Linked DNA regions of Lepisosteus oculatus. The protein of the gene in region 3 interacts with the protein of the main gene of each other region in a pairwise test. Links are inferred from orthologs where the notes say so. Each region holds a gene or a part of one and is shown on either strand. Other genes may lie near its edges. The genes, in order: cerebellar degeneration-related protein 2, junction plakoglobin-like, ntaq1 and tle5.

Evidence for each region.
Region 1: the proteins of ntaq1 (region 3) and cerebellar degeneration-related protein 2 interact in binary tests that used the Homo sapiens proteins (3 or more experiments, as listed by UniProt). The two-hybrid records come from large-scale screens. The link is inferred for Lepisosteus oculatus from reciprocal best matches to the Homo sapiens genes NTAQ1 and CDR2.
Region 2: the proteins of ntaq1 (region 3) and junction plakoglobin-like interact in binary tests that used the Homo sapiens proteins (3 or more experiments, as listed by UniProt). The two-hybrid records come from large-scale screens. The link is inferred for Lepisosteus oculatus from reciprocal best matches to the Homo sapiens genes NTAQ1 and JUP.
Region 4: the proteins of ntaq1 (region 3) and tle5 interact in binary tests that used the Homo sapiens proteins (3 or more experiments, as listed by UniProt). The two-hybrid records come from large-scale screens. The link is inferred for Lepisosteus oculatus from reciprocal best matches to the Homo sapiens genes NTAQ1 and TLE5.

The regions. Positions count from the first base shown.
Region 1 is NC_090714.1:16,649,072-16,656,315, forward strand, and holds the start of cerebellar degeneration-related protein 2, read right to left. Parts: upstream 3,019-7,244; 5' UTR 2,768-3,018; coding exon 2,686-2,767; intron 1-2,685. Other genes in the region: mfsd13al (transmembrane protein 180-like), read left to right, coding at 4,153-4,389, 6,206-6,934.
Region 2 is NC_090723.1:10,149,735-10,157,625, reverse strand, and holds the start of junction plakoglobin-like, read right to left. Parts: upstream 3,001-7,891; 5' UTR 2,854-3,000; intron 1-2,853. UniProt on the Homo sapiens protein: Common junctional plaque protein. The membrane-associated plaques are architectural elements in an important strategic position to influence the arrangement and function of both the cytoskeleton and the cells within the tissue.
Region 3 is NC_090705.1:10,684,825-10,692,031, reverse strand, and holds the start of ntaq1 (protein N-terminal glutamine amidohydrolase), read left to right. Parts: upstream 1-4,202; 5' UTR 4,203-4,301; coding exon 4,302-4,381; intron 4,382-4,830; coding exon 4,831-4,930; intron 4,931-6,362; coding exon 6,363-6,413; intron 6,414-7,078; coding exon 7,079-7,207. Other genes in the region: ATPase family AAA domain-containing protein 2, read right to left, coding at 1-88, 2,597-2,770. UniProt on the Homo sapiens protein: Mediates the side-chain deamidation of N-terminal glutamine residues to glutamate, an important step in N-end rule pathway of protein degradation.
Region 4 is NC_090724.1:9,409,153-9,416,902, forward strand, and holds the start of tle5 (TLE family member 5), read right to left. Parts: upstream 3,002-7,750; 5' UTR 2,462-3,001; coding exon 2,435-2,461; intron 1-2,434. UniProt on the Homo sapiens protein: Transcriptional corepressor. Acts as a dominant repressor towards other family members. Inhibits NF-kappa-B-regulated gene expression. May be required for the initiation and maintenance of the differentiated state.

The DNA.
Region 1 (7,244 bases), on a different chromosome or scaffold from region 3:
AACACTAAGGCTGGGGGTTCTGGGGGCTCGTATCACAGATGGCAGATTCCTTCCTTGTGAACATGTCCTTTCCTGCCTGCGTTTCCTTACGCCTTGAAAACCCTTCTCACTGCTCATCTGCTTTGGGATTCATGACCTGCAGCAGTATAAACCTGCACTTTCTCTGTGCAAAAGGTTATTAGATACATGAAGCAAATCCTGCAATTCTGATTTCTGCAGACTATCTGTGCCGGCGGCACACAGCGCCTGTTACATTGCAAATGGAGAAAAATCTATATTTAAAATAAGTGTCATAGCTAGGGAACCTGTCCACACTTCGTTTGCATTGTCCATTTAAGTGACCTCAAGTTCTTTTTCCACTGGGTGTTGTATTCATAAGGTGTGGAGAAATATACCTCCAGAGTGTGAAAGCAGGGTACTCTCCGTCTTACAACTAAGTAGTAGCTGACGTCTATAATGCCTATTTATGGTCTCTCTCTTTAATTCTAGGTTGTGTCTTACTTTTTTATTTTTGGTAGTTAAATCATCTTGGGGTGTTAGTCCAGTAGGGTCGCTACAGAGCCAGCCAGACCTGACAATTAAGAAATGCGGTTTTGCAGTTACACAGTGTTGAGAGGGAAACTGGCCTGTGTCTAGTTTGCCCATCTTCCTAAGTAGAGGTGCAATATCTTGCATTGCTCAGGACCTGCAATCCGTTTTCTGCCAGCTCATCGTTTCACAAAGAGCCTCGTTTAAGTGGCGCTGGCTCACACACAGGGGTCTGCCTGAGGCTCGAAAACTCAACCGTCTGATCGCCTTTGCCTTGAGCATCCACCATTGACACTCAGGAGAAACGCACTCGGAAATTCACCCTCTACAATTTACTTCTCGAGTCAGAATCCCAGAGGTGCAAACAATATCTGTGAGGCATTTTAGAGACAAAGCCACATTTCTACTTATTGAATGTGGAAGCATAAAGTGAGCAACAATGGTTAGCCCAGGTCTTCTGAAGTCTGACGGAACTAGTATCAGGCAGACAAAAGTGAATGTATTGAGATGAAGTGGCAAACAGAATTGTTGCTGAGGTTTTTAGTGGTCTGGAAGTGACTTGCAGTTCGATACTGTTTTACACCCTAAACTGGAAAAGGTGAGAGAGCAGCTTCTCCTTGCGTTAAAAAAACCCAACACTGCAAATGATTACAGCCTACAGCACAAAAACACCGATTTCATTACCTCCCAGCAAAATAACTTGGAAACACAGTGAGACGTTTGAAGCCGAACATGTCAAGAACCCAGAACTGTGCTGCCCAAGTAACTGTAACGTAAAGAGAAGGTCACGAATCTATAATATTTCCTTGCACTTGTATAGTGCTCTTCAAAGGATCCCCGAGCGCTTTGTATACAGGAGGGGACCCACTTCGCTGCTCGTGAGGTGCAGCACACAGCACCCTCACCGCACAGCAGGTCAGGGGGAGCACAGAGAAATATATCCTCAATTATTTTTGCATGTCGTGAGGTTATAAATTAGTTCATTAAATGGGTGCACATTGGTCGTAAACATTCTTATCTCGGGGGATGCTAAAAGCTGCATCTGCGTCAGAAAGCTGCCTTGTTTCCAATGGGTTAATTTCTTGATCCAGGAAATGCGAGCGCAAATTCACAGGGAAACCGCAGCTATCTCAACTGGGAGCCGAGCGACACATCGATGCAACACTTGTGTTTGCGGTGAATTTCTGTTCATCGAAAAGCCTTAAACTCGGTTATATTTTGAAGAGCTCTGACCATTTCTCGCGGCTAGTCAACGACATCCTTCCTTACAAAAACAACGTGCAAGGAAGAAGTCACTGCTCTCGGCAGCTCAGTGCATGCTCCTATTAATGCCTTCCGAGCATGTCATTGCTTTTTCGAGCACTTGGGCGGTCCAGTCTAGCTTGGCTTTGCTGCTGTTGAAATCGCGATGACAAAGGAGTCAGATAAGGCTGCTTCCTCTCTGAGCTGCAGTAGCTGCGGGGAAGAAGTGACCAGGCGAACAGCTCCCACTTCTCACGGGAGACGAGCGGCTTGCGAATGTGGCCGAATTTATCGACAAAAAGGGCTTTGTGCGAGATCCGCCGACGCGACTCAGCGTTTCCCAGATTATGCTGCAATTCACATTCAATTCTAAATCACACCCCCGGCAACGAACATTTTCACGCCGGGTCGGAAAAAAATAGCAGAACATTACTGCTAAAACACAACACTGTCGTGGAGTTTTTAAACCCCCGACCGTCCGCAGCACTGCGGTTTAACCGCGTTAGGTTAAAGCAAGCATGACATGTATATATATACTTGCTTTTAACATCTTCTTTTACATCGATCTGTAACTAAAAATCAGTGTTCATTTCTTACAAGGGAAATGCATCCCCGGGAACGCAAAACAAAAACGTGAGGACAGTTTTACGAAACAATGTAGACGCTGCATGAGATTTTTTGGGGATGGGGACTCGCTTTCAAATGGGCGGCTCGGTTGTAAACCAACGTTTTGACAGGCGACACTAATCATACAACAGAAACGCGCACGTCGCCCTTAGAGGCTTGTTTCTGGGACGCATCTCCCCCGCTGCCCGCTGAGCGCACAGCCCCGGGCGATGGGTGAGCCCCGGCGCCGCTACCTGGCTCGGCTCTCTTCAGCACCACTGAAGAGGAGTTTAAATGCCCCAGCCCTACCGTGCTCCAGGTCCCGGTGGTCATACCACGGCTCCTCCTCCTTGATCTCGAACTCTTCCTCCACCATCATATCGGTCAGCATGTTCGCGGCCGGGGTGGGGAGGACGACGACTCTGGGGACTCTTGTCCTCCGCTGGGCAGTTCTGTCCCGTCCTTTTTTCCTCTGTCTCGGAAGAGCGGGCAGCTCCTGCTCCTGGGTGCAACACACACACACACACCAGCACGCTCGCCGGCGACTGAGCTCGCGACGCTCTGGAGCCTCCAGCGGCTCGCACGGGCTGCAGCAACGTGGCACCCAACCCCTGCGCCGCGGCGACGTCAGGAGCGGGCGTGTCAATGGGAGCCGACGTCACTTGATCGCTTGGAGGGGGCGCATTGAAACGCCGGGGAGGCGGGTCCGGAACGCCGGGCAGCGTCCAATCACCGCAGGCAGGGGGAGGGTCTCAGGTGGTGGGGGGTGCCCCGCCCACTTCCGCGATACGCGGGCTCCGCGCGCGCACACAGCTGAGCTGGCTGCGAGGATATCGAGAAATCGTAGGTTCAGTTTTAACTCATTCATTTTTAATTAACCTTTGATCAAAGAGGAGAAAATAGGAGTGTGCGCAAGAGAGCCACTGCAGGAGTCGCCATTGCTAGAACCTTAGACTTTACGACCCATGAAACTGCATGTTTTTTTTCTGAAAACAATAGCAGTGGTTTGAAAGTCTTTTTGTGAAGAACTTCCGTTGTAGTTGTTTTGTGTCTTTTCACAACTAATGAGTTATAACCGTCGACGCAAAGGAAGCTCGGTTTCAGAAATTGTGGTTTTTTTCTTAAATATTTGTCATAAAAACGCAGAAATGTATCAAAGGAATCGATTGACAAGAGGGGCGGGGTTTCAAAGTGCCAGTTACTGTTTACTGCTAGTGTTTGTTGGTTTGTAAAATGCTTTTAAACCTCGTTTATGTTAGAGAAATATATATTTGTTATATATGTTAGAGAAAAATACACTGACAAACCACAGCCCAGGGAAAATCTGTTTATATGTAGCCGAGGGAGTACAGTGACAATAATTTACTGTGGTGTTTACCGTGATTCGCACCTCTCAATGAGGTGAATGCAATGGGGTTTTTATATTGTGCATGATAGTATATTCTTAAGAGTAGGAGTGCCGGATCTTTCAGTTTTATACAGCTCATTTCACAGCTTCTGGGGCACAGCATGTTGTGTTGTCAGCCTGGCTTTAATGGCAAAACTGACAATTCCTGCAATGCCCACAAACCAGCCTGACTTGTTTCGGGAATCCTGTTCCTTGAACTTAATGACTGGTTGTGCTTAACTAAAACCCTATCACTCTTTCCCTGTTTCGTTAGCTGTATTATGAGATCGCACTTAAATACCCCCGTATTAATTCATTGTTTGTCTGTTATTAGCCGCGCTAGCCCTCGATAGCTCACGGTCCGGCGTGCGGGAAGGCGTCACGCGTGGATGAGCACCCGCGCCAGGGCGCGCGCCGCTCCGGGGAACCCCGCTCAGGGCTCTCGCGGGGGCGGAAGGGCGGCCGGTATGCGGCTCCTGGCGAGACTCGGGGTCCACCCGGGCGCGCTGGCCTACTCCATGACCACGCTGGGCGCCGGCATGATGAACAGCATCTTCAGCTTCTACTACGTCAAGCTGTTCCTGGACAAGTTCCAGATCTCGGAGTCGGCGTTTCACCAGGCGCAGGCGAGTGCTGACCCACGGGGCTTTTCCACGCAAGTCGCACCCCCAGAGCAGGGTAGCGTGCTGTAGCCCTTTAGCCCTCGCTGACCTCGAGTTGTCTTCTTGCATGAAAAAATCAGTACTCACATATGCTGTACTGTAGGCTAGCATTGTCACCTGGCTGGTGGGGAGATGAACTCTGAGTCTGCAGTGTGAGGTCACTGCCCCTGCTCTTCAAAGCCCCGATTCAGAGTTTATAGATGTTTTCTGCTGGCGGGATCTTCAAGTCCCTGCAGGACATAAGGGGTGGAAGGTAAATGCCCTGCCAGTCCGAGCGACGAGGCACCTGCTTGAAGGAGATGAAACATCTCTGTGACCATCTCCGTTTACTACAACTAAAGGGTTTAGGAAAAAACTACTACAACTAAACAGGATTTGGAAAAATGGAACTATATATGTTTATAGTAGTATAATATGGAAGTTTTGGTTTTAAAAAAAAACACTCTGTAGTTGAACAGTCTGAACCTATAGGTTAATTATACCATGGGAATTTGTGCCTGGGGGTTCTGAACAAGGAAAGAGAGAACACAGAGATTGAAAGTTATGAATTCATGCAACTCCTTATGTCTTCCTGGGCTGTTTCCTCCTTTAGCATTCCTTCTGATTGTTTGTCTGTTTGTCTGTGTCTCTCTGAACATCCTGCTTGTGGCCTTCGGGAGCAGCTGATCAGATCCCTGTGGTGTCAGGTTTGTGTATTCCCTAGACACAGAGGTCTGTCCGTACTCTCCCCACTGAGGAAGTGCGAGATGCTACAGATACCCTTATTCATGTAACTCTCCTCCTCCTGAGACTCGTCCCCATGAGTCTTACTGGCATGGTGGGTGTTTTGTGCCTCACGACAGCAGAGAATCGGCCTCCCATGGATTAGAAACATGACATCAAAGGTGATTAGGTTAGTTCAGTGTTGTGCTATGTAGGTCCTTAGCTGTTGGCGTCCTTAAAATAGCTCCTGCGCTTTTTCAGTGAGTGCTGAGAGGATTTCATTGTGTGCTGTATCCAGGGCAGCAGAGAAGGAACACAAGGCACCTTTAGGTTAATTAACAAGCCAGGGCAGAACTTAAACTTGTTCCTCTGCCTCAGGAAACAGAGTGCGCTTTTGAGAAAATAAAGAGCACGGCGTGCCAGTCTGCCCAGTCTCCTGTTCCAGAACAGTCCGCTCTTTTTTCTCAGTGCGCGTCTCCAAACGCGCATGATGAAGACCCACCCCATTCGAGTAAGAGCTGCAGGATTTAGCCGCCTGTGTACCACCTTTCCCCAGCGTAACATTTCTTAATAAAAATCACATCACAGCTCATACTGTCTAATTCCGGTCTGCTGTTCGTCCCATCAGCCCATCTACCCTCTTTGGGTGACAGGGCCTTCTCCTGCTGCATCCCAAAGCTCTGGAAATCTGTCCCAAAGGACATCCGAGAGTCACCTTCCCTGAACACTCAGATCAAGACTCAAAGCCTTCTTCAGAAGGGCTTTTATTGAACTGGCTCTCTGTCTGCCCCTTTGCTTCCCTGCTGTATTCCAAACCCTTAGTGCAGTTGTGTAATTCTGCACATTGAGAAGCCACTTTTAAAGGTGCTATACAGTATAAAGTTTATTGTTATTATTATCACTAGATGAAGGCTCATAGTTATTGTGGATTCTGCTGTGTTTTCTGAAGAGGGCGAGGGAACTGAGAGGGGATGGTCTGGCCCATCTCGTTGGTCTGAGTGTGAGTAATGTAGTGACTGACTCTCCTCCTGCGCGCAGCTTGAAGTGTCCCTTCCTCGTCCCGTGCGCTCTGCTGCAGGTGATCTACATGGTCTGGAACGCCGTGAACGACCCCCTGTTCGGTTACGTCCAGGACAACTCCGGGATGCCCTGCTGCTCCCGCCGCCGGCTGGCCGTCCTGTATGGGGCGCCCTTCTACGCCCTGGCCTTCCTGCTGGCCTGGTTCCCGTGGCGCCCCTACGCGGCGGGGGACTGGCTGAGCGGTGTGCACCTGATCGTGGCGCTGTGTGCCTTTGACGGCATGCTGACCTTCGTGCTCCTGGCCCAGTGCGCCCTCTTTGCCGAAATATCTGTCCAGCACGAGAGCAGGCTGAAGCTCATCAAGTACAACCAGGTGGCGTCCCTGCTGGGCTCCTCCAGCGTGCTGTTCTGTGGGCTGATGTCTGGGAACATGGATAACTTCCCTGCGTTCCAGGCCTTCACCGTCGCAGCCGCGGCGCTGGCGTGCGGCTGCATGCTCTACACGGGCCTCCACAGCGAGAGCCGCTACGCGGGGCGGGGGGGCCAAGCGGAGGAGCAGCCTCCGGGGGGCGCCGCCCTGTCCCTGGCCTCGGTCTGCTCCCTGACCTGGCAGATCCTGAACCAGAGGGACTTCCAGCTCTTCGTGACCATGAACTTCTTCCAGGTCTTCATGGTGGCGTTCTGCAACAACTTCGCCATGATCTTTGCAGAGCACCTCATTCCCAGGGAGGTCTTGCCCTCGCTGGCCAAGAGCATCATGTATGGAGTCGGCTTCATCTGCCCACAGGTACCGCAGACCAGCGCTTGGTAACGGGCATCGGGAACTGGGGGATATTTTGACTGGTCAGGGGGGCATGCAGTCATACAAGACAGTTTTCCTGATGAAAAGCACTATTACTGTGGTGCAAATCCAAAATCAAAACTTCATGCTATACTCTATTACTCTACCCTATACCCTTATTCCTGGCCTATCCCCTAATTCTACATGGTCCATGTGTAGATGTAATATAGCCTCCCTTATTAACCCATATGCCCCAGCCTTCAAAACCGTCTGCCTGATCCGCAGTGCTTCTCCTTCTAAGCCCCGTGTGTTTTCA
Region 2 (7,891 bases), on a different chromosome or scaffold from region 3:
TCACAGTGACAGCTGTGGCCTCCCCCCGCGCGCCGGCCCTCTGAGTGCAGCCTCGGGCCAGCTGACCGGCCGAGACGTGGCTTCAATGTGAAACATTGAGCTGCTTGGCCACCTTCTGAAAACCGCCGAGAGCCACTCCGCTGCTCTGGAGAGGCTCCGATCGGGGGGCTGACCAGCACCCCCGCAGGGAAGGAGCCGACACCTGGAGTCTCGCCAGCCCTGGCTCGCCTCGGTCACAAACGATGTGAATCCGAAACCCGACTGCGACTGCAAGCTGCTGGACACCGTGCCCACGAAGGCTCACAGACACTGAGCGAGTGTGAGCGCTGTGTCCCAGCTAACAGTGGGATGAAATCGCTGTGTGACTGGACATGCCTCTCCTGTCTCTGCTGACGATATCAAGCCACAGTGCAGAGCTCCCCCTCCCCCGAGAGGAATCAAGCCCGCAGCTTGCTTCCTCTCTCCATCCTCCTCCTCGCTCCTGAAGAACCCGCGGCTCTGGGGGTCCCCTCGCACAGCTGCTCAACAGGGAAGAGACGAGCTCTCTCGCGCACGTGGGGGAGATCAAACCGCTGCAACAGGGGCAGAGGGCACCTGGGGCCCCCGAACCCACAACCTGCCTCACAGAGCCCACTGCTTCTCCTGGGCAAGAGGAGCCATCAGCATGACACCTCAGATCAGATCACGTCATTGGCCCTATACAATTTCTTGTATCAGGAATTTCTTTTCACAGACCCCAACTTGCTCTCCATGAGACACACAGACAGGGAGAGAAGCTGGGGGTCAGAGCACAGGATCAGCCATTGTACAGTGCCCTTGGCACAGCTGGGGTCAAGGGCCTTGCTCAGGGGCCCAATGGAGTAGGATTCCTCTGCCGGCCGCGGGATTTGAACCGGCAACCTTCCAGCCACAGGTGCAGAGCCATCGCACCTGCCCCACAGAACAGCGGGCATGCCAGCAGTGGGCTCAGCAGCTGTCCCCCCACAGTACAGACCAGTGCCCCACAGGTGCAGAGGGAGATCGGTCCCTGGAGGAAGCCTGTCAGGCCATCCCACCAGCACTGGGACTGGAGCGCGACAGGACAGGGTCGCTCCTTCCTCCCAGCGCAAGAGGCAGGCAGGCAGGCTCTGCTGTGGCCGCGGAGGGTCAAGAGTTCACAGCTGCCTCCTGCCTCACCGCTCTCTGTGCCTCCGCAGCCCCCGGTCGCTGCTCTGGAGGCGCCGACTGCAGCTCCACGATGGAATGAGTGGAATGCGCCGCCCCCTCGCGCAGAGGGTCCTGCCAGCCGCGCGCGCTTCTCCGGCAGCCTCACAGCATCGGATCTCCGACTCGAAACGAAACAGGCTCGATTTAAGGACCTCACCACCCCTCAGTGAGGAGCCCCTGCGCGCTTCGCTCTCGTCACTCGTCAACAGCCCGTCCGAGCTGGCGGACCTTCCGCGTCAACAAGACCAGGTCGACACCTTCCCCCGCCCCGCAGGCGCCGAGACTCCCGTCTAAGGTGGACAAGTCTGGACGGGTTTATAATCGGGTAATCACTGCGTACAGAGAAGAGGAACGCTAACCGGGGGAGCCCGCACCACTGGTGTCGCTGAAGGTTCAAACCGCCCCAGAGCACAGAGGGGGACGAGTAACAGAACCGGCGAGGGCGGGAGGTCCGGTTCGGGGACGGTCTGCCGCCCGTGGGGGTGGGGCTTGTTTACATTGCGACCAGCCCGGCCGCTCGGAACAGCCGCCCCTTACCGTCAGCTCCACCAAGAGCCGCAACAACGTGCAGGCGCTCACGACAAAGGCGGAGAAGCGGGGGGCAGCACACTGGAATCAGAACCGAACCCCTTTGGGCTGGACGACTAATGCACAAGATAAACTGGAGACTTCAAAACTGCGGGTGATAATGTAGTGCGACTCATTAAAGGGACTGGAAATTCACACGTCAAATGTCGCTAATCAGTCGGGAAAAGCCAGGGGAAGTTGACAAAATGTAACTTCTGTGCGGCGGCGCCCCCCTCCCCGGGAGGCAGGGAGAGGCGCGCTTCCGTCTGCACCAGTGCTCGCCCACCCCCCCCCCCCCAGCTGCTCCCACAATTGCTCACCGCGACGGGTGGGCGCGCCTCACCGCCCGGAGCACACGGGTGTGCGCGGCAGTCCGGACAGGAAGAGCCGCCCTGCTCAAGCACAGCCACACAATGAGGACTGCTCGGCAGAACCGAACTGCGGAGCGCAGCCAGGGACGAGCCCAACAAACTCCGGTGTAGTAGGGGAGAGCTCCCGCCCTCGGTAAACCGCGCACCGTAACTCTTCCAGCTTATTTCTGCTCAACACGTCGGATCGCCGCTCAGACTTACAATGTTGCAACTTTCTCCAGCTGTGTGGACCGGGAAAACTCCCCGCACACACCAGCTGCCCACGGCCCGGCAGCACCCCACCTGTCTCCCAAGAAGAGCCGAAACAGCTCCCATTCAGACACGGAGTCTCGCCTGTAGCTGCACAGTTACTGGCCATCTTAATGCTCAAGGCAGTGACAGCTGCCGAGACCGTCCTCAAAGTTTCCACACACCGGCGCAACATTTTCTTTCTCCTTCTCGGAATAATAACACGAGCGACACCCTGGATAGAGATTGCACTGGAAAAGGAGACAGACACCGATAAGCAACACGTCCACATTGTCCGAACAGCAGGCTGAAAACAAACACCGTTCCCACATTTCAACAGACTGCAAGCAGCCGCATCAGGGAGAAACTGGGAAGCCCGAGCCCCTACCGAAGCGCTCGCACAGAAGTACAGACCGCATCCTCGTTTAGTACAAATACTGGCCGTCGCTCAGGAGAAAAAAGACAGTTAAACATTCTCTACCTTTGAAAAAAGATAGTCGATCTCGTCCGTGAATCCAGGAACTCGGCGAACGGGGTAAAAAAAAAGTTTGTTGCACAGCGTTTCCGCCACAAATCCCCACAACCACCAGACTCCGGACCCGACTGAACAATAACCGAGAGACAGCGACGCTCTCCTCCAGACACCGCCCACACTGCCTCGGCCCGCCCACGGCTCGGAATCCGTGCGCCCATTGGGCGTTAGGGCAGTAAGGGTGTGTCCCAGCGCTAGATGAGTGGCAGGAACGTGGCCAATCGCTCTTAAGATAAAACCAGCGGAGCGCTCAGTCTTGATGTCAATCATCTCTGCTCAATAAAGACCCGCCCTTCAAAGCTTTTCATTGGTTGCTGGCGTGTGGGGGCGTGCACGGGGGGGCGTGTGTTACACAAGGCGTTGTCACCTCTCTCCACAATGCCCCGCCCCCTCGTGTTTTTCTCTCGTGAGATCAGGATACCTAGCAAAGGTAAAGTGGAAATGAGCCACACCTGTGTGACGTGATGAAACTGTGCCCAGACAGGTAGTGAGTCACAGGCCTGCTGGTAAATGAACACAGTCTCAACGCCATTAGTACTGCCCCTTGTTATCACGAACAAGACTTACGACCTTATGAACACTTCAATATGACCTTTATCCGCTTGTGTTGACCAGAAACTTTGAGGTCGTGTTTTCTGCCCCGTGCTGAAGAGAGATGAAACTCGTGCTCCCAGCAAAGCCAGTCCCCAGGGCTCGCGCTGGGACTGTGGCTCCGGGATCGAGGGCAAAAGCAACGTATTGAGCTTTTTGCTTAAATGAGGAAGAACTGCTAGAAATGAATTTAAACAAATTGCATGCGAAGGCAAACCATACGTTGAATAGATCTGCTAATTCAAATAATGCTCGTCAATGAAAAAAAAAAAACAAATAATCCATCGATCCGTTCTCTAAGCATATTATCCAGTTCAAGGTCGTGGGGGAGCCCGAGCCTATCCCAGCAGGCAATAGGCACGAGGCGGGGTACACCCTGGACAAAACACCAGTCGATTGCAGGGCACGCACAGACACACTCACACCAGGGCCAATTTTCCCAGAAGCCAATTAACCTTCCAATATGTTTTTGGACTGTGGGGAGGGAACCAGAGTACCTGGAGGAAACTCACGCGATCCTGGGGAGAACATACAAACTCCTCACAGACAGCACCCCAGGAATCCAGGGCCAGAGCTCTGCCCTCAGGAGTTCTGTAACAAATAAGTTTATTGCTAGAGTCTAAAATAAAACAAAGTGAAACAATACAGTTTTCTGCACACAAAGTCCTGCTCCATTAGTTAAGGGTTAAGGGCCTCACTCAGGGGCCCAACAGAGCAGAGTAGGATTCCTCTTGGGATTTGGGATTTGAACCAGCAACCTTCCAGCCATAGGCGCAGATCCTTAGCCACAGAGCCACTGCTCCACCCAAACATAATGAATTAACACCTAATAATCCACTCGAGATACAGACTGACACTGGTCCCGCCCTGGAGCTCACAGACAGCACCCTGCCCTGCAGCCTCTGCCCTGGTTCACAGGCTGCAGCTGACAGGTGTGGCGTGGGAACGTCAGGCCCTGGCAGGTGTGGCCCTCTGTGTTACCTGTGCGGAGGCTCTCACTTGAGTTCTCATTCCCGGAGAAGAGAGGCTTACTCAGCAACAGTGCTTGACAGGCACGTTTTCTCAGTGCTCTGGTAGAGGACACAAAGACCCTGATGTATTTGTTACTGCTGAGTAACAAATAAGCCGAACATGGCTCGAATATTGGTGGGTGTTCATTTTTAGCTCTATCTGCCCGTGTAGCAGAATTCTTCATTTAGCTTTAAATGAAGAGAGAGATAACAAGAACGAGGCTAAAGAAAGAAAAATAAGAATACAGGTCCTGCAGAAATTAGAGAAGGACTATAAATATCTTGTCTCGGGATTCTTCGCTCTGCTTTCTGCTTGAGCTGGGGGGGCAGCTGCAGAGAAAGCAGATCTTTTTGGGGCGCAGGGGCAGCAGGTGCCAGCAAGGGGACTGCCTGTCAGGGAACAGGCTGACGAGGACTCAGGAGCTCAGCAGGGCCGGGAGCATCAGTCCAGGGTTGCTGGGTCTGCTCCATGACCCTCCTTCAGACCAGTCCCCGGAGAAGAGCTTACTGCCCCCAGCCCTCCTCTGCACCCCCGGAGCCTGCCGTGCGGAGCCGATGTGCTGCTGGCCCGAGGCCTGAGTCCTGAGCTGTTGAGTATCTCAGGCCACTGGCGTCCTGCTGCTGCCTCAGGGCTAATGACAGTGTGTGCAAGAGCTGCCTTTCCTGTTAGAAAAACAGGCCTGCGGAGATTTTCATTATTGTGTCCTTCCTTTGGCTTTTGAGTGAGCATGCACGGTCTTTCGTTGTTTGTGCAATAGCTGCTTTCCGCTGGCCTGGCCCTTATTTATTTCATCTGTTTGTTTATTCCTCCTTTCATCTGTGTTCAGTTTGACTGAGACGGTGATGGAAGTAAAGTGGCCTTCTGGCAGATCTAGTGAAATTACTCACGACGCAGGACCCAGAAGCCCTCTGCGGCTATCACAACCTTTTGAAAAGAGATGCATCAATTATTCTTAGACCCCTTCAGCTATAAAGAACAGCAGCTCTGCTCTCTGCTAATTTCTCTGCACATAGAGGTTTAAGAACCACCTAAAAAAGATAATTAGAAGAGAACAGATTAGACACCATATAGAGATTTTTTATTATTCTAATTTGTTCTTAAAGCAGCAAAAGGGAGAGGTGGAAATTAATTATCTCTTAAGCACACTGTGCTGAAAGCCAGAGAACAAGCTTCTGAAAGGAATAAAAAGCTTTTGTTTAAAATCTTAAATTAGCACTAGAGTGCTGGGGCTTCCATGCTTCTAATTTAATTGTGAATTCTATGAGAATTTAACTCACTTAAATCTGAGGCTATCATTTCAGATCTGATTGGGTGTCTCCAAACTGGGATTGAGACTGGACAGACCGGCTTTTCACACCCGACCTGTGTCACGAGGCTGCTGTGTTTCTCTAGCGTGGGGAAGGGGCTGAGCTCGGCTTGGGCGATTCTTGCCAAGCTTGACTGGACCTGACTGAGAACATTTTCCCAAGTGTGGCCACAGTGGGGACACTACTGCCCCCCCCCAGCCTTCTTTTTCTAAGGGTACATTGAAAGTAAAGGTGAAGTCCATCTCAGGGGCACCCCAGTATCTGGGAACCCCAGAGAACCCCCCGGACTACGCTGGCTGTGTGCGGCTGGCCACAGATGTGCTGTCGCTGCCCCAGTGACAGTGCTGGTGATGGAGCAACGCTGACTGGCCCCTGCAGCGGCCCGGAGGAGCCCCGCTGACTGAACTGCGTCCGTGCTCTGGGCTGCTCAAGGAGGAGGACCTCAGGGCGCTGTGTGGTACAGAACAGGTTGAGCAACACTGATCTGCTTGAGTCCACAGCCAGCCGGCAGGCAGTCAGACAGTCAGGGTGCTCCAGCGCCCTGCACCAGCGAGGCAGATGTTTCCAACTGGGCTCCGTCCTGGAGGAAACAGTGCTTCCCGTTGCAGGGTTGTTCTCCGAGGCTGGGTGCGCTGTATGCAGACAACAGGAGAGCAGGATATTGTCTTGGGGAAGGATCTGGGGGGTCTGTGTGAGTGGAGTAGCGTCAGGGGGCGAGAGCAGGGAATTCGTTTTTATACACAACAGAGCTCATTGATCCAGAAGCTCCGCAGCTCTCAGGCAAGGCGGTCTGGTCTGTACGCCCGCGCCAGGAGCAGTGTGCGTGACACAGAGAGCCTTTCCCCGCGCAGGGAGAGGGAAGAGCCGAGCCACCGGAGAGCAGAGCCGGGTCTCTGGTGCTGGCGGGCTGGGCGCTGCTGACCAGAACCCACCTGTACAGGTCACTGCCCAGAGCTCACTTCAGTATTCCCAGTCCAGAGTTGATCAAATTGAGAAACAGGGTACTGCTGTTAAGATGTCTGTATTGCTAAAGACAGTTACATCTCATATAAATCAGTGTCATTTTTAATACAATTAATTTAATTGCATGAATAACCATCTCTGTCTGCATCAATTGTCTACACTCATGCCCCATGTTGCCAAGTTTGGAATAACAGATTTAAGGGTCCACATTTTGAGCTTCTGACTGTACCTCTGATTTGTACTCTACACATCCTCCCCAGGTAAGACTGAAAAGGATCACTGCTCTCCCTGAGTCAGGTTTGTTCTGGGAATCAATCAATCAATCAATCAATCTGGCAGGCAATCCTCAGAGCTGATAATTAAAAGTTAAAGAACCACTGAAAGACACTGAAATACACTTTACAGTCTGGGAGCGTATTCTCAGCTTGGAATCAAAAAAAGACTCCAGGCCTCAAATCACACCCCAGCACAAGACTTTTGTTTTCTGTTTCTCTTTCTGGCTGAGGTCTGTCACCGGGGTCCTGCAGTGTGAACCCGCTGTCCCGGCCAGGAAGCCCTCCTTCTGGACCACCAAGAACGTATTACTCCACACTCCGCACTCCACAGGGAAACATTCCCCACGCACTCTGAAACTATACCGCATGTGTTGTTATTGGGCAGCATGACAAAACATTTGCATGACCCTTACAAATACCTGCTGTGGTGCAGTAAGGTGCAGTGGAATCAAGTGCAGACGGGTGTGTGTGTGTGGTGGGGGTTACATCGTACCTCAAATCACAAAGTCTGGTGGACACTCAGGAAAACTCATTCCCCACTCTCGCCCCCTGACGCTACTCCTCTCATACAGACCCCCCAGATCCTTCCCCAAGACAATATCCTGCTCTCCTGTTGTCTGCATACAGCGCACCCAGCCTCAGCGCGGCTGGAGAAAATGAGCTCTGTGCCATCTCTGTGAGGGATTCTTCCTAATGTGGTGGTTGCACTGCAGTTAATTAAATCCAGAATCCTGCACGCAAACACCAGCGATTCTATGAAGTGTGATTTGCATTGAAAGTATGTCAGCCGCAGTGGGACTGAGCTCGGCTCTGGTGGTGGCTGAGCCAGAGGGGGCAGAT
Region 3 (7,207 bases):
AAGACACCTCTTGCTTTTCCTTCTGCCCGTTTGTCTTCCTTAGAGATAGTTCAGCTACATTTTCTTCATCCTTTACTGATACATGGCTCTAAATTCAAAGGAAATTTTGTAAAACATGTGTCATTTCTTATTTCTTATTATAAAAAAAATAAGACAAGAAAGCAGAATTGATTTTGGGTGAAAACACATTTTCCTAGATTCTAGATGCGCTTTTCCTCACATTTGTGCATGAAGATTATCACAATGTCATACCAAACAAACGTCTTTCTTGATGAGGCTCCTTCTGTTTCTATTCAGCCCAACCTTACAATCGTTGACTGTAATAAAAATCAGACTCCAGCTGTAAAATGCCTTCATCCTCTCAACAAAGGTACGAAACAGTATACAGTATCTCAGCAAGCTGAATTAAAAGAGGAAATCTTACTGGCTTACCAGTTTAAATGTACCTAAAAGTTACAATAAAATAGCAGATCTAGTTCTTTCCATAGCTTTCACCTGTAAATTAAGTTCCACACTCGAAGGGTAGTTCCCTAAATACGTGCAGCAGGCCTTTCACCCAGAGATCTTATATATTATCCATTCATCCATTTTCTAACCGCTTCTACCACAGTTCAGGGTCACAGGGGAGCCAGAGCCTATCCCAGCAACCAACGGGAGCAAGGCGGGTGGGGTCCATCACAGGGCACACAAGGGCCAAATTTCCCAGAAGTCAATTAACCAACTAATAGATGTTTTGGAGGAAACGAAAGCACCCTGAAGAAACCCGTGAGAATACGGGGAGAACACACAAACCCCATGCAGACAGAACTCCGGGTCCAAGATTCAAACTAAGGCCGCAGTGCTGAGAGGCAGCAATGCTATCTGCTGCAATATCATGCTGTCCAAAATTAAAATCTGATTGACCACATTACAGCACAATAATAATAACTGCTTACACTTATATAGCAATTTTCTGGACACTCAAAGCGCTTTACACCACCAGTGTGCAGCATCCACCTGGATGATGCGACGGCAGCCATAGTGCACCAGAACGCTCCCCACACATCAGCTATCAGTGGGGAGGAGAACCGAGTGATGAAGCCAGTTCATAGATGGGATTAGGAGGCCATGTTTGGAAAAGGCCAATGGGAAATTTAGCCAGGAAGCCAGGATAACACCCCTACACTTTCCGAAAAACACCCTTGGATTTTTAATGACCACAGAAGTGTCAAGACCCTGAATTAAAGTCTCATCCAAAAGACGGTGCCTTTTTACAGTACAGTGTCACCGTCGCTATACTGGGGCATTAGGACCCACACAGACTGCAGAGTGAGCACCCCCTGCTGGCCCCACTAACACCTCTACCAGCAGCAACCTTAGGTTTTCCTAGGAGGTCTCCCATCCAGGTACTGACCAGGCTCACACCTGCTGAGCTTCAGAGGGCTGCCAGTTGTGAGTTGCAGGGTGAAATGGCTGCTGCTGCAATATCCAATTGATTCAGAACATCAGGCTCCAGACATACTGGACACAGGTCAACTAGCAACATAATCACTGACGCTGCCAGGTCGTGTTTTTATTAAGATTTCCATTTAAGGTTTCTTTTTTTCACTTAATAACACTGCCTTCTGTGATCTGCTCCTACAACTTTTGGCCAGCTATTGGACAGCTTTGAGCTGTTACCAACTGATGGGAGCACTTGTGCAAATTTCAGCGACAGATTACTGTTCAACAAATCATAAAAGACAATTTCTTAACTACGACGATGGGGAGTAACTATTTTAAAGACACGCTTTAGATACTGCATTCTGTGCCTGGAGAGATCACGACTTTCTGCTAACGTTTAGCTGGCACTGACGTTACTACTCGCAGTAACTTCAAAATCATCCCCTTTCGTCTCCAGGTGTCCACTACTGTCCACCTCAGGAATTATTCATCCTCGGATCTGCAGTATGACAACCGAGCCAGCAGCAGATTTTGACATGATCTCCTTTATTCAGTCAAGTCGTAAGGTTAGTAACTGGGCTCTGATGACCCGGACACGCTCACCTCTTCGCCTCTAAATTAAAACACATGGACATGGAAACTGAACTTTGATAGGTCGAAAACGAAGCTAATTACCGATAGGCCGGTATGAAAACAAGTCGTATAACGCGTGAAGGAAAACTGTCAGTAACCTTAGTATTTTGCATTTATGTTTCTCTGTTTAAATGCAAAATAAGAATTTTACGGACTGTGCACCGGGTTTCGTCCTCTGTTAATTCACACGTCATCCCAACTCTCACTCTCTTTGCTAGAAGTCAGTGATGCTGTCAGGCAGCCCAGATCATCTGATCTGAGAAAGCTCTGGGCGACCAGAAGAATAAACCGACGCCGTAGTCCAGTTGTTATCAGTTTGTTGCGATTAAGAGCCAACACGCAAGGCTCCCTATATCACGAAGTGTCCGGCTGATCTGGGGGCCAGCTGTCAGCCCCCGACTCAGACAGTTTCTTGGGAAGAAACCGCAGCTCGTCTAGTCCAAAACAGCTGTCATTCCTGACGCACACACCCTCCCATTAACAGCTTTATCATTATTATTATTATTATTTCTGGTAACCCGCGAAAGGACAGGAGGCTCACGTGTCGAGTCGGGGTGTTCTCGGCTCCGCTCGAGCTGTCATCCGCGGCCCTCCTGGAGCGCGCGGAGCGTCTCCGCGCGGACGTCAGGGACAGAAACTCGGCGCTCGAGTCCAGCGCCGGCAGCTTCTTCGGGGACGCGGGGTCCGCGCCCGCACTGCTGCGCAACATCACCATTATAGCCCCCCGTTCTCCTGCTCAGACCGTCAACGGACGTGTTGGAAAAGTGAAGAGGTTTCAGAGTAGGAACAATCCGCTCATGTCCCTTTTCCGGTAGTGGCCGGACAGTTGCCGCTAGCAGACAACCTCTCACTTTTTCTGTTTTTCCAGCCCTTGATTTCTGGCGCCACAAACGTCACAGAAAGTCAGATCACTACCTGTATGTTGCTCCGAAGCAAGAAATAGGCCACGTAGGTACACCCTCTTCACTTTGGAAAGTAACGTCCTGTTTCTGACCACACTATGCTGAAATGGCGGTGACGATAAGGAATTTCTATATGACACCCCTGCGTCCTGTCGTTCTTGTTTTCTAAACACCTTAAGAATTTTATTCCATCCTGCGTAGTGATCTATTTTGAAAGGGTGCCCCGGTAACTTTTTGGCGCGTAGTAAACAACGCCACACGAGGAGCTTTCATTGGCTAATAACAAAGGCCCCGCCCCCAAGCCGAGGTCATAACAAGCACGTGAGGCTCAGGGAAAACGCGGGAGCTGTCAATTCAAAACAGCCTTCTGTTGCAGTGCATTCTGAATATCTGCGTTACACAGTTACAGGCGTCTCTAAGAGGGGCAAATAAGAACAAAAGGAAAGCTGCACTTTATGAAATAAATGTACATTCCTTACATGTCTCAAATACATACAGAAGCGAGGTTCATTCTTTCAGTTTGTGCACATAAATCTTTAGTGTTCGTGGTAAAACCAGCGAATACGTTAATAATGAAAACTTACCAATGAATTTGGGATTAATTCAGTTTATTTATCGTCCTAGAAATAAGGCAGAAGGACCCTGGGAACCTCTGTTTATAGTTTTATAGAGGATTGCATTTCGTATGTATAAAAGCCATCTCTGGCTGATTTTGTACAATTTTTTAAGAAGGAAAACTGCTAGCCTGTTTAAATTTAATGAGTGAGAGGAGAGGGATTTCACAAACTCATTGAACGCCATGCTCAGACAAGCTTATTTTGTATTTGTGGACGTCATGTACTTTTATCAAGTATGAAACAACCAAGCTAGTAGGTTTGCTGGCGCGAACTAGTAACGATGAAACTGTTTTTTTTATTGTAGTCATATATCGAGTCTGTATAAACGACTGTTTCTGATTGCTATGGTTAACGTAAAGTTAAAGTTCGATTAAGTATTTATCTCTATACCGTTGCTTTTGTATTCAAAGGGATGACTGTAAGAAATGTTTAGCTTTGAACCACAGTGTTTGATCTTTCATTTGTGCATAACACTAAATATACTTTTCATAGTCAGGTTATACATAAAGGTTTACCAATAAAAAGCGGGTGAAAACAGTCTGAATTTATATCCACCAAGAGGTTAACATATTACATAAAAGTTGTTTGCCACCCGGAGCAATAAAGGTGTAACATATCCAGTCCCCCTGTTTTTAACGTCCGCATGATGTTACGTTCCTTTTTTAGATGAACAAGTCAAGAAAGTCAGGAATTCACTTTACTGTTCCCTGACATCTTCCCTCGAGTCATGAATAATACAAACGAATCATCTCATTATTGCAGTATTACACCTTCCAGACAAGACTGCATCTATACAAGCTGCTACTGGTGAGGACAATTGAGTTATCCACAGCAGATATTAGGGTATTCACGCTACCCTGTTGATAAGTCTCTTGTATTACTATCAATGAAACTGTGCGGCAGGACTGTGAATACATTTGTGTTTTTATTTACTAAAGTTGATTGTCCTGTTATGCCTTTTCTTAAGAGGAATTCTGCTTCGATGTTTAAAAGGTTTTTCTTTTGCTTTTGAAGGAACCTTTAAATGCTATCCGGATTGTCACGAATAGAATTAAGTTTGTTACTGTGGGGTTTTTTTTTGCGGAATGTTGTACCCTTAACGGTGTGCATAACCCCTTTTTAATCTTTACAGTAGCGCTCTTTTTTCCTGTTTTATATTTTTATTTGAGGGCATGAATGATGAATTTAGTTTACATTACCTCTAGTCGCCTGCCAATCTACCGATGCAGACTATTAAACTCTTTTTTTGTTGTCAGCGAAGAGAATGTCTGGAAGCTCTGCGAACACATTATGACTCGAAAACAATACCCTGAGGATGGAGTTTATGCAGTGTTTATATCCAACGAAAGAAAGATGGTAAGCTGTCACATATACCCCTGTTTTCACCAAGTCTAGGAATATATGCACAATGTATATAATGTATATACAATGTATAGCTCTGTTTTTGCTGATTGGAAAGACGGTATGCAGATTTCTGATTTTGTTTAATTGTTTTTAGCATCATTGTAATCATTTAATACTGACTGAGTGAAACACACGAATGACTTTGTTACATGAAAACTGATTGGTAACAGGCGATGAGCACATTTCCTAGAATAAACAGGACACAAGCTCTCTTCTCCAAAAATGTCTGTTTCACACTTCAATTTCAATTCAATTTATTTTTATATAGCACCTTTCACAACAAGGTTGCCCCCAAGGCACATATCAGTGTGACAGTACATGACGTTACAGTCCAGAAAGAGAAAAAGCCAGAAGACAACGGAGGAGAGGAACCAAAAACTCCTCTGTAAGGAGAAAATAAAACTCTAGGGGTCCAAGGTCAACTGGCTGCCCAACCCCTCTGGGCATGCTAACATTAAACAATTCCAAAAGAGTACTAAATGTGGAGTATTGAGTCTTCCATCATGTCCTTCTGTGTGCCAGTACTCCATGCAGTTATCTGTGGACCAGCAAATTCTCCTGAACTATAGCTACAGTATATTCGTGATCTCCCTCTTGGATCCATGGCAGAGATGCAGCATCCAGCTCAGATGGTGCCCAGCTTGGAACCTCTCAGCACTTCAGCAAAAGTCATTAAAACTGTTGAATGCCAAGGTGGAGGAAAATGAATAGAAAGAAAAAACGCATATGACTGCTACGCTCTGCTTAAATCAAGAGAAAAATAACTCTGTGTCACCAGTATGACACAATACCCAAATTACTGGGACAACAATCTCAAAACTGCTATTTTTGCTTTATTGCCAGTCTGTATTTGTGATCATGAAATTGCTATGATTGGCATGTCCAATCTTATATACTGTAACGCCCCGGGGTTCGCGTGGGTGTGCGCCCTCGCCGCTGCCGCCTCAGGACGGCCCCCCACCGTCAGGGACTCAAACCCGGGCCTCCAGCGTCACTCAACAGGGACCCAGCCACTAAAGGGAAATCTCCCATCAGCCTAGTGGCTACGGTCCCTGCTATTCCCAGGGAAGGGCGGTGACGTCACCGCGCGGATAAGCCGGCTCTCACAACCAATGGTGGCCGTATGCGTTACAATACTTTTTATTTTTAGGAAGCACCATTCATATGTTTGCTAACATTTGATGAAAAAGAAACTTTATTTTCAACCCAGTGATTTCAAGTAATTGGGACACTTGCAGCACAGACAATTTGATCCTCCAAATAAAATCATGAAATTAATTTTCATTTTATATGTTGATTAACTTAAAATGTGTCTGTTTTCTGCCTCTCTTTCAATAAGCTGTAAATGACGTATTAATGGAGTACAGTCTGTCTTGTGTTTCAGGTTCCAATCTGGAAACAGAAGTCAAGCCAAGGAGATAAGCCAGTAATTTGGGTAAATTGCACAGATAAGAACCCTGTTCATCCTGAGCCCCAAGATGAGTGTCGCATTAGAGAGTGCCATTTCAGATGCACCTGGTGGTAACCCAGCAAAATTAAACAGATATGGCATGACTAATAAAACCTTTATCCCTGTGCTAAATTTGCGTGTTCCCCCAAATGAGAAATCAACACAATAAAACAAAAGAGAATTACTGACAGCTGAGGCTGATTAAACCTGGCTGTTGTCACTCCTCCCCAACCTCTGTTATAAACTTCGTATCTGGGCAGTGAGAGAGAAGGCAAACAGCTCTCCCTGTCTGAGATCTTGAATTATTTTGTTAATCTAACTTGGTTCTTAACAGATCTCTAGCTCACTGAATCCTGCTCTCTAGGTGGGTGGGTGTTTCACGTGAAAGGAAGAGCAAAGGATTAATGATGAATAAACAGTTCTCTCCTGATTCAAGTTTCATGACATGTATATTAAAGATATTATACAATCAAGGTCCTAGATGACCAGTGTGTCTGCATTTCTTTAAGGCATGATGAACTATGGGAAGCTATTATGCACTGTCTAATTAAGCCGGTAACTAGCTGATTTATCTATTTAACGTCTGAGTTGCAGTGCAGACCTGCGGACACATCAATCCAAACTGATATACACATTATTCTCTTCCCCAGGACTACCATGTTATCCTGCTCCATGAGAGCCGTGAGGGCCAAACTTATATCTACGATCTGGATACCGTCCTGACCTACCCTTGTCCATTCGCTGTGTACGCAAGGGATGCCCTTCAATCAGATGATTTT
Region 4 (7,750 bases), on a different chromosome or scaffold from region 3:
CGAGACCTCTGAGCACCTCAGCAGCGCCGGATCTTTTCCCCAGGAGGAGGACATGAGCTCCACACCAGCGCCCCCACGCCAGACACAGACCAGCTTTCGGCCCAGGTTTCAGGCTGGGGTCCTGAGTCTTCGGGGTCCCCCTCGGGCCACTGCTGTAGGGACTGTAGGGTGTGTGGAGCCTGAGGGGCAGAAAGCACGCTGGGCACTGGGCCCCGGGCTGGTACCCCCCTTGAGGCCAGCGGGACCAGTAACTGACTGTGGCGAGTTAATAACAATAATAATTATAATTATTGCTTACACTTATATAGCGCTTTTCTGGACACTCCACTCAAAGCGCTTTACAGGTAATGGGGATCCCCTCCACCACCACCAGTGTGCAGCCCCACCTGGATGATGCGACGGCAGCCACAGTGCGCCAGAACGCTCCCCACACACCACCTCTCAGTGGGGAGGAGAGCAGAGTGATGAAGCCAGTTCAGAGAGGGGGATTATTAGGAGGCCATGATTGGTAAGGGCCAATGGGAAATTTGGCCAGGACACCGGGGTTACACCCCTACTCTTTTCGAGAAACGCCCTGGGATTTTTAATGACCACAGAGAGTCAGGACCTCGGTTTTACGTCTCATCTGAAGGACGGCGCCTGTTTACAGTACAGTGCCCCCGTCACTATACTGGAGCATTAAAACCACGTGGACCGCAGGGTGAGTGCCCCCTGTCGGTCCCACTAACACCCCTTCCAGCAGCAACCTTAGTTGAGGGTTGTTGAGATCTGGGGGTGAAGACAAGGAGGAGCAGTAGTGACACTCCAGGCGCTCACAGGTGAAATCACAAGTGACACAGCACCAGGGTCCCAGGCTCCATTCCAACCTCAGGCACCTTTCTGTGGGGAGTTTGCACGTTCTGCCCAGCTCTGCAGGGGCTTTCCCCAGGTGCTCCAATTCAAGGTGCACAGGTAACCTCTTCATCCTGGAGAGGAGGACGACTGGGACCCCCCTCTTCCCGAACCTCACGCATCGGGAGTTTCAGAACCTCCACACACAACGCCGGGCTTTCCTGATCCTGTCGGGGGGAGGGGGGCATCACATTGCTCAGCCCCTCATGGACCCCCTGTTAATTAATCAAGCGTATGAATCGAAAACTGACGGAGATCCAGATGATCAACACAAACCAGGCGACAAAGACGCCTTCTTCTGGAGCTGATCTGTGGCCGGACTCTGCGGGTCTATCCTTTCTTCAGAAAACGAGTAGAATTAATTTACATTCTATACCTGTCTTTCAGCGCCAGCTGGAGATCTGAGCAGCTCTGAGCCCCCGGACTGCAGCTCCAGAGCGAAAACCACGGCCAGACGCACCACGATCTAAAATGATGTAATATCAGGCTGAGACGCCATGAATTAATGTGGCCTGCGTGCGTGTTTCTTTCCAAGCTCACCTAATCACAGCCGAGGAAGGCTGTATAAATCTCATTAATAACAGCCGTATGAGCATTTAAGGTGCTGCAGTAAAAATGAAGTACGTTTAAAATGTAAGCCAATTGGAACCGGTTAAATTTAAATAAACTGTATTAAACTGGACCGGTTAATGCGGAATTGAGGAACATACCCTATAAATTACAACACGGCATTGTCTTAAGTATTTTAATTTCATATTTTGGTCAACTTTCGAGGGGCGATATTCAGTTTAGCGTCAGTTTGATGAAGTTATCGTGAAACGCGTGTGTCCCTCATCGTCCGCCTGCTCTCTTCAAGATGGTAGCTGTTACTGTCGCGGACGACCAGCGGGAGAAACGCGTCTCGCCTCCTCCGGCCCCGGGTCCAGGGGAAACCCCCCGCCCGGGCCCTGGGGGTGACTCCCTCGCCTCTCGCCCAGACGAGCGGCCCGCCGGCGGCGGCAGGGACCCCCATCCCCGGCCGGGGTCCCCGGGCGAGCTCGCTGCGCGCGAGCGAGGACACGGCCATTTTGTGGAAGTTTTGCAGAAATAACGTGTCGTTTCCGTTCGGGCCGCTTCAGGCGCGGATCTCGCCGGAAAGGCGGCCGGCTGTCCGGGGGGCAGCGGCGCGGCTTCAGTAGTAGCCCCCGGGCCGCCGCCGCTGCCCCCCGGACGTGCGCTCACGCAACGCCAGGTTTGCCCCCAGCACGGCGCGCGCTCCCCGGGGCAGGAGGGGCGACCCGCCGCGCGTCTTAAAATGGACCCCGGCGGAGCCGCGCGGCGCCGGCGGCCGGGTCCCCGAAATGTAAACAGCTGCTGCCGGAGGAACGGAGGGGGGGGGCGCGGGTGCACGCGCTCGGGGTGCCCCCTGAGCCCGGAGGAAAAACACACACTCACACGAGCGCGCGCACCCACACTTCGACGCGCGCGCGCGCGCGCAGCGATTTTAAACACGACGGCACGGCGAGAGCGGATCGAGAAGGAGAATAAAGACGCCGAGACTCACCGAGTGTCTGGATTGTGGAAACATCATGTCAGTTTCCTGTTGTTAATTCCTTCTGCCGAACAAAGACGAAAGCCGGGGTGAGGGACCTGGAATCGCTCCCTTTGTCTCCCCGTGTCGGGGACGGAGGTGCTCGCGGCGCGTCGACGCCAGTCACCGCAGGAGACGAGCCTCGCTCCTGTTTCTCAGCCCTGTGTTCGTCTTCCCAACCGGCCCTAATGTATCCCACTCATACTGCGGAGCGCTGGGGTTTCTGTCCTTTGTTTTAAGAGAGAAAGTCTCGGAACCGTGTTCTCCTCCCAGACGGTCCAAAGTTTGAACAAGCAGCGCTGCTCCTGCGCGGCTCCCTTCCCCGTGACTGACAGAAACGCAATCACGCTGCTCCCCGCAGCCCTTCCCTGCCTCGCCGTTACTGTCTGCCGGCGCACGCCGTCCTGCGCCTGCTCGGCAGCGGGCGGATGAGCTGGGCGGACGTGTTTTCAGAGCGCCCTGCGGGTCGTGTGCGTGGGGCTGCGCTCGCGGTGTGGGTGCCGTGTCTGCTGACCGACCATGTCGCCGCCGCGCTCGAGCTCTGACACCACGCACGAGCCGCGCGGCCCGCGTGACGCGGGACTGGGGCGGCGCTGCGCTCGGGCGCGCTCGGCAGGCCCCGGCTGCGCTGTCGGGTGGGTGAAAACACGAACGCTTAGCGGAAGTGTTGCCGTCTAATGTGTCCCCCCTCTCGCCCTCCTCCCGGCCCGCGGGTGCGAGCTCTGTTCCTCCCCGCACACCCGTGGGGTCCAGGCCAGGGGTGCGGGGGGTCTAGTTACTGTGAACTACACGCGTTTTCAATTGCTCGGGGGGATTTTAAGTCCTCAGGACCGGAACCGTCTTTTAACCCTCCTAGACCGCCATGATGATTCCGCTGTGCACTGGCTGCTTAAACGACGTCTGGCTGTGGGTATCCCAGCGAGACGATTCACCTAGATCAATTCGAGTAGGGAGCAGCGTCGGCCGCAGAGGAAAGGGTGAAGGTGTTTTCCCTGCTGAAAAGAAAAGAAAGGAAACACAGCGAGGCGTTGTGCCGAAACAAATGTCGTGTTGCTTTTTTCTAACCTTCCAGCAGAGAATGAACCTTCACCTGTTTGGATGAAGCTCTGTGTGTGGACGAGTACTCTGTGTCTCGCATGGGGATGTTTCGTGCCCTGACGTCTGTAGGTTCAGAGGAAGTTGTGAAAGAGGAGTATGTTTCCCGCAGGCCCAGCACAGGGAAGCGCCGATCAGAAGGAGCGGTCCGAGCGAGTCCAGAGCTGTGGTGCTGTCTCAGAGGTCCACTCTGCCCGCCCTGCGGGACCCAGCGGGACCTAGCGCTCCCGGCTGAAAGCAGAGCACTGCCTGCTGGTTCTGCGAATGAATTTTTAATAAGACAAGGCCAGAGTCATAACTATTTAATGAGACATAATCTGTACTGCAAATAATTAATCAGGAGCTGTCTGTATGATGCCACAGCTGATGGGGAAATAACTTTTGGCTGCGGTTTGAACAGTACAAGGGATGGAGTGGAGTCAACTGAAAGGCCACTGTATTGTGTACAGGACTGTATCACTGTACTGTACTGTGTGTTGGACTGTATCACTGTACTGTACTGTGTGCAGGACTGTATCACTGTACTTTGTGTAGGGCTGTATCACTGTACTGTGTGCAGGACTGTATCACTGTACTTTGTGTAGGGCTGTATCACTTTACTGTGTGCAGGACTGTATCACTGTACTGTGTGTAGGAGTGTGTGAGTAGGACTATATAACTGTACTGTACTGTGTGTAGGACTGTATCACACTGTACTGTGAGTAGGATTATATACTGAAGAAGGCTCCACAGTTGAAACGTTGTGTTTTCTTTCTTCTTTTTTTCAGCATGGAATAAACCTATTACTTGTTCCTTTGCAGCCTACGCATGCTGACGCAGCTACCCACCTGAACTTATATAACTATACTGTACTGTGTGCAGGACTGTATCACTGTGTGAGTGGGACTGTATCACTGTACTGTACTGTGTATAGGACTGTACCATTGTACTATATTGTGAGTGGGACTGTATAACTATACCCACTATGCCTTCCTCTAAATCTTTCTCTAGATCTCTTCGTCGTTCCTTCTCTTCCTCCCTGGGCTACCTGCTCCCTCTCTCACTAAACCAGCTTTCCGCCTCTTCACAGCGATCTGTTCCAAGATCCAAGACCAGGCTTTCTAACCACCTTCTATTCCTTTACAGATGTCGTCGTTATAATATCATTCCTAAAGGATTTCGCCTGAAATTTAACACTTTTTCTTTGGACTTGTGTAATACTCGGAGACTTCTATAACAGTGTTAGCGGAAACTAATGCTTTCTACCATCCTCTCCTTCAGACAACAGATGACCCTTCCTGGCAACAACATCAAGGAAGCCAAGGCATTCTTACGGCTCACAGCTGCATAGCATCTTCTCTTCATAACAAACCTCATCAGATCCCTCAACTCCCAACTCCACCAGTTCCTCACTTCAGAGAAGGGTAAAAAACTCAATCACACTCAATCCTCTTTTCACCACCTCAGCCAATCCTAACCTTGTGGTTCCTATACCCTCTGACCTCTCTCTTTCACAGGATGAGCGATCTCTTCTCAGCAGAGCCCTGTTATGTTCCAGACCCAAGAAGCTGGACATCCCGCAAACCCAAGTCGACCTCAACCGTTTTCACCGCAGGATTCGGCTCAAAGCTCATTTTGCTGACAACGCCTCCTCACCTCACTGATGCCATTAACAATATAAATCCTAAACGGAGCTCTTGGACTCCCCCTTCCGGCCGGTTTCCACCAGTTGATTACTTTATTAACCAATGCAACAATCAAGTTCCCAAGACCCTTTCCAAACCCAGGAAACGCAGGTCTAACCTCACCCAAGGAGAAACTCAGGCACTCCAATCTCTCCGCACCAGGGATGAGATGGTCATCAAACCAGCAGACAAAGGAGGAGCTGTTGTGGTGTGGCAAAAAGACTTGTACATTAAGGAAGCCTCCAGACAATTATCCGATACTTCTGCCTACCGTCCTCTCCAACAGGACCCTACCACTGACTACCAGAAGGAAGTGGTATCCACTGTCGCTCTTCTTTTCAGCAACCAGGTGCTGCCCCAGGAAGCGAACCGTCTCATCGTCGAACATTCCCAAGTATTCCAATTCTATCTCCTTCCCAAAATCTAAAAACCCGACACCCCTGGACACCCCATTGTCTCAGCGTGCAATTGTCCGACCACACTCAGCTCTGCTTTCCGGGACAGCCTTATGAGACCTCTGGTTGAAATGCTTCCCTCATATATCAGGGATACGAACCATGCCCTCCAACTTTTCAATGATTTCCAATTTCAGGGTCCAGAATGCTACATTTTTCCCATGGATATCACGTCTCTCTCCACCATCATTCCCCACAACGACGGTCTTACAGCCCTCAAGCACAAGCTAGACAAACACACAGTGCTTGACCCTCCCACCCACACTCTAGTGCGTCTTGCGGAATTGGTTCTCACACTCAATGCCTTCTCATTTTATAACCTTTTTTTATCAGCAGGTTAGTGGAGTTGCCATGGGCACCAGGATGGGACCCAGCAGTGCCAATATTTTTGTCGGCTGGGTAGAAGAACGCTTCCTCACTTCCTACACTGGCTTCATCCCTGACCTCTACAAGTGATACATCGATGACTGCGTCGGTGCTGCTATCTGCTCTAATGACCAGCTAGAACACTTCCTGCATCAATTCACCAACTCTCACCCTTCCCTCAGATATACAGTTAACATATTTTCCACCACTCTTCAGTTTCTAGACATAAATGTATCTGTCCACGTCTCTCAACCTCGGTCTATTACAAACCCACAGATTCACACAGCTATCTTCTGTGCAGCTCTTTTCACCCCACTCACACCAAAAACACACCAGACCCTTTCTCACAGTTCCTCAGGCTACATCGACTCCGCAGTGACGACATGGGTTTCCAGAACCAAGCACTCAAAATGTCTCTTTTTTCATCAACAGAGGATACCCCACCCATGTTATTGACAGGGCTCTCACCCGGGCCAAAAACAGCCCTCGGATCATCAACTCGATCAGGAACTCCCCGTCTCACAACCCCATTCCTTTGGTGCTTCCCTACCACACACTTCCTACCCCCAGAACCATTATTAACAACTTCTCCACTTTACAGGGCGATCCCTCCATCGGTACCCCTAACCGCCCAATCATCTGACAAACCAATCTACGTAAACGTCTTGTTCACAGCTCCCGTTCGCACTCGGCAATCCCCACCAGGCACCTTCCCCTGCAACAGAGCTCGCTGCATCACCTGCAAATACATATCTAACAACACGCTCATTCAGGGCCCCTCAGGTCACTTCCAGATCACCCAGACGACATCCTGTACCTCCAGCAACCTCATTTACTGTATCTCCTGCAGAAAATGCCCAGCTATCTACGATGGGGAAACAGGAAGGAGACTAGGAGACGGCTTCAGAGAACATGTTAGGGCTGTGAAGATTTAAGATTTCTCAAAGCCCATAGTTTCTCAATGCACCTCAGACGGCCATGATCACACCGATCTCTCTGTCCCTGTTGTCAAAGGAGGGTTTCTCAACTCCCACAGCAGAAAAACTACAGAAACGAAACTCTGAATCTAGGTTCACACCTTCCCCCTTCTCTCAACGACAGACTTATTTTTGTGTAATCTTTTCTATCCTCATGCTGGTTCTGACTTCACACCTTTCTTCACCCCTCTCCACTTTGCACTTCCTGAGCGGCCTCTCTGCCTCTCTGCCCTTCCTGCCTCCTCCTCTCTCTCAGCTTTTGTTCTTCAGTGCTATTTAATCTTTGCTGTCAGCCCTGTCTTTCTCATACCTGAAGAAGGCTTCACAGCCGAAACGTTTTGTGTCTTCTCTTTTCAGCATTGAATGTACTGTGTGCAGGACTGGATCACTGTACACTATTGTACTGTGTAGAACTGATTCACTGTACTATACTGTGAGTAGGACTGTATCACTGTGCTGTACTATACTGTACTGTGTGCAGGACTATACCACACTGTATTGTACTGTGTGTAGGACTGTATCGCACTGTATTGTACTGTGTGCAAGACTGTACCACACTGGACTGTACTATACTATGAGTAGGACAGTATCACACTGTACTACACTGTGTGTAGGACTGTATCACTGTACTGTACTATGTGCAGGACTTCATCACTGTACTGTACTGTGTGTAGGACCGTACCACACTGCACTGTGTGTGGCACACTGTGTTGCACAAAACATTTTGGATGC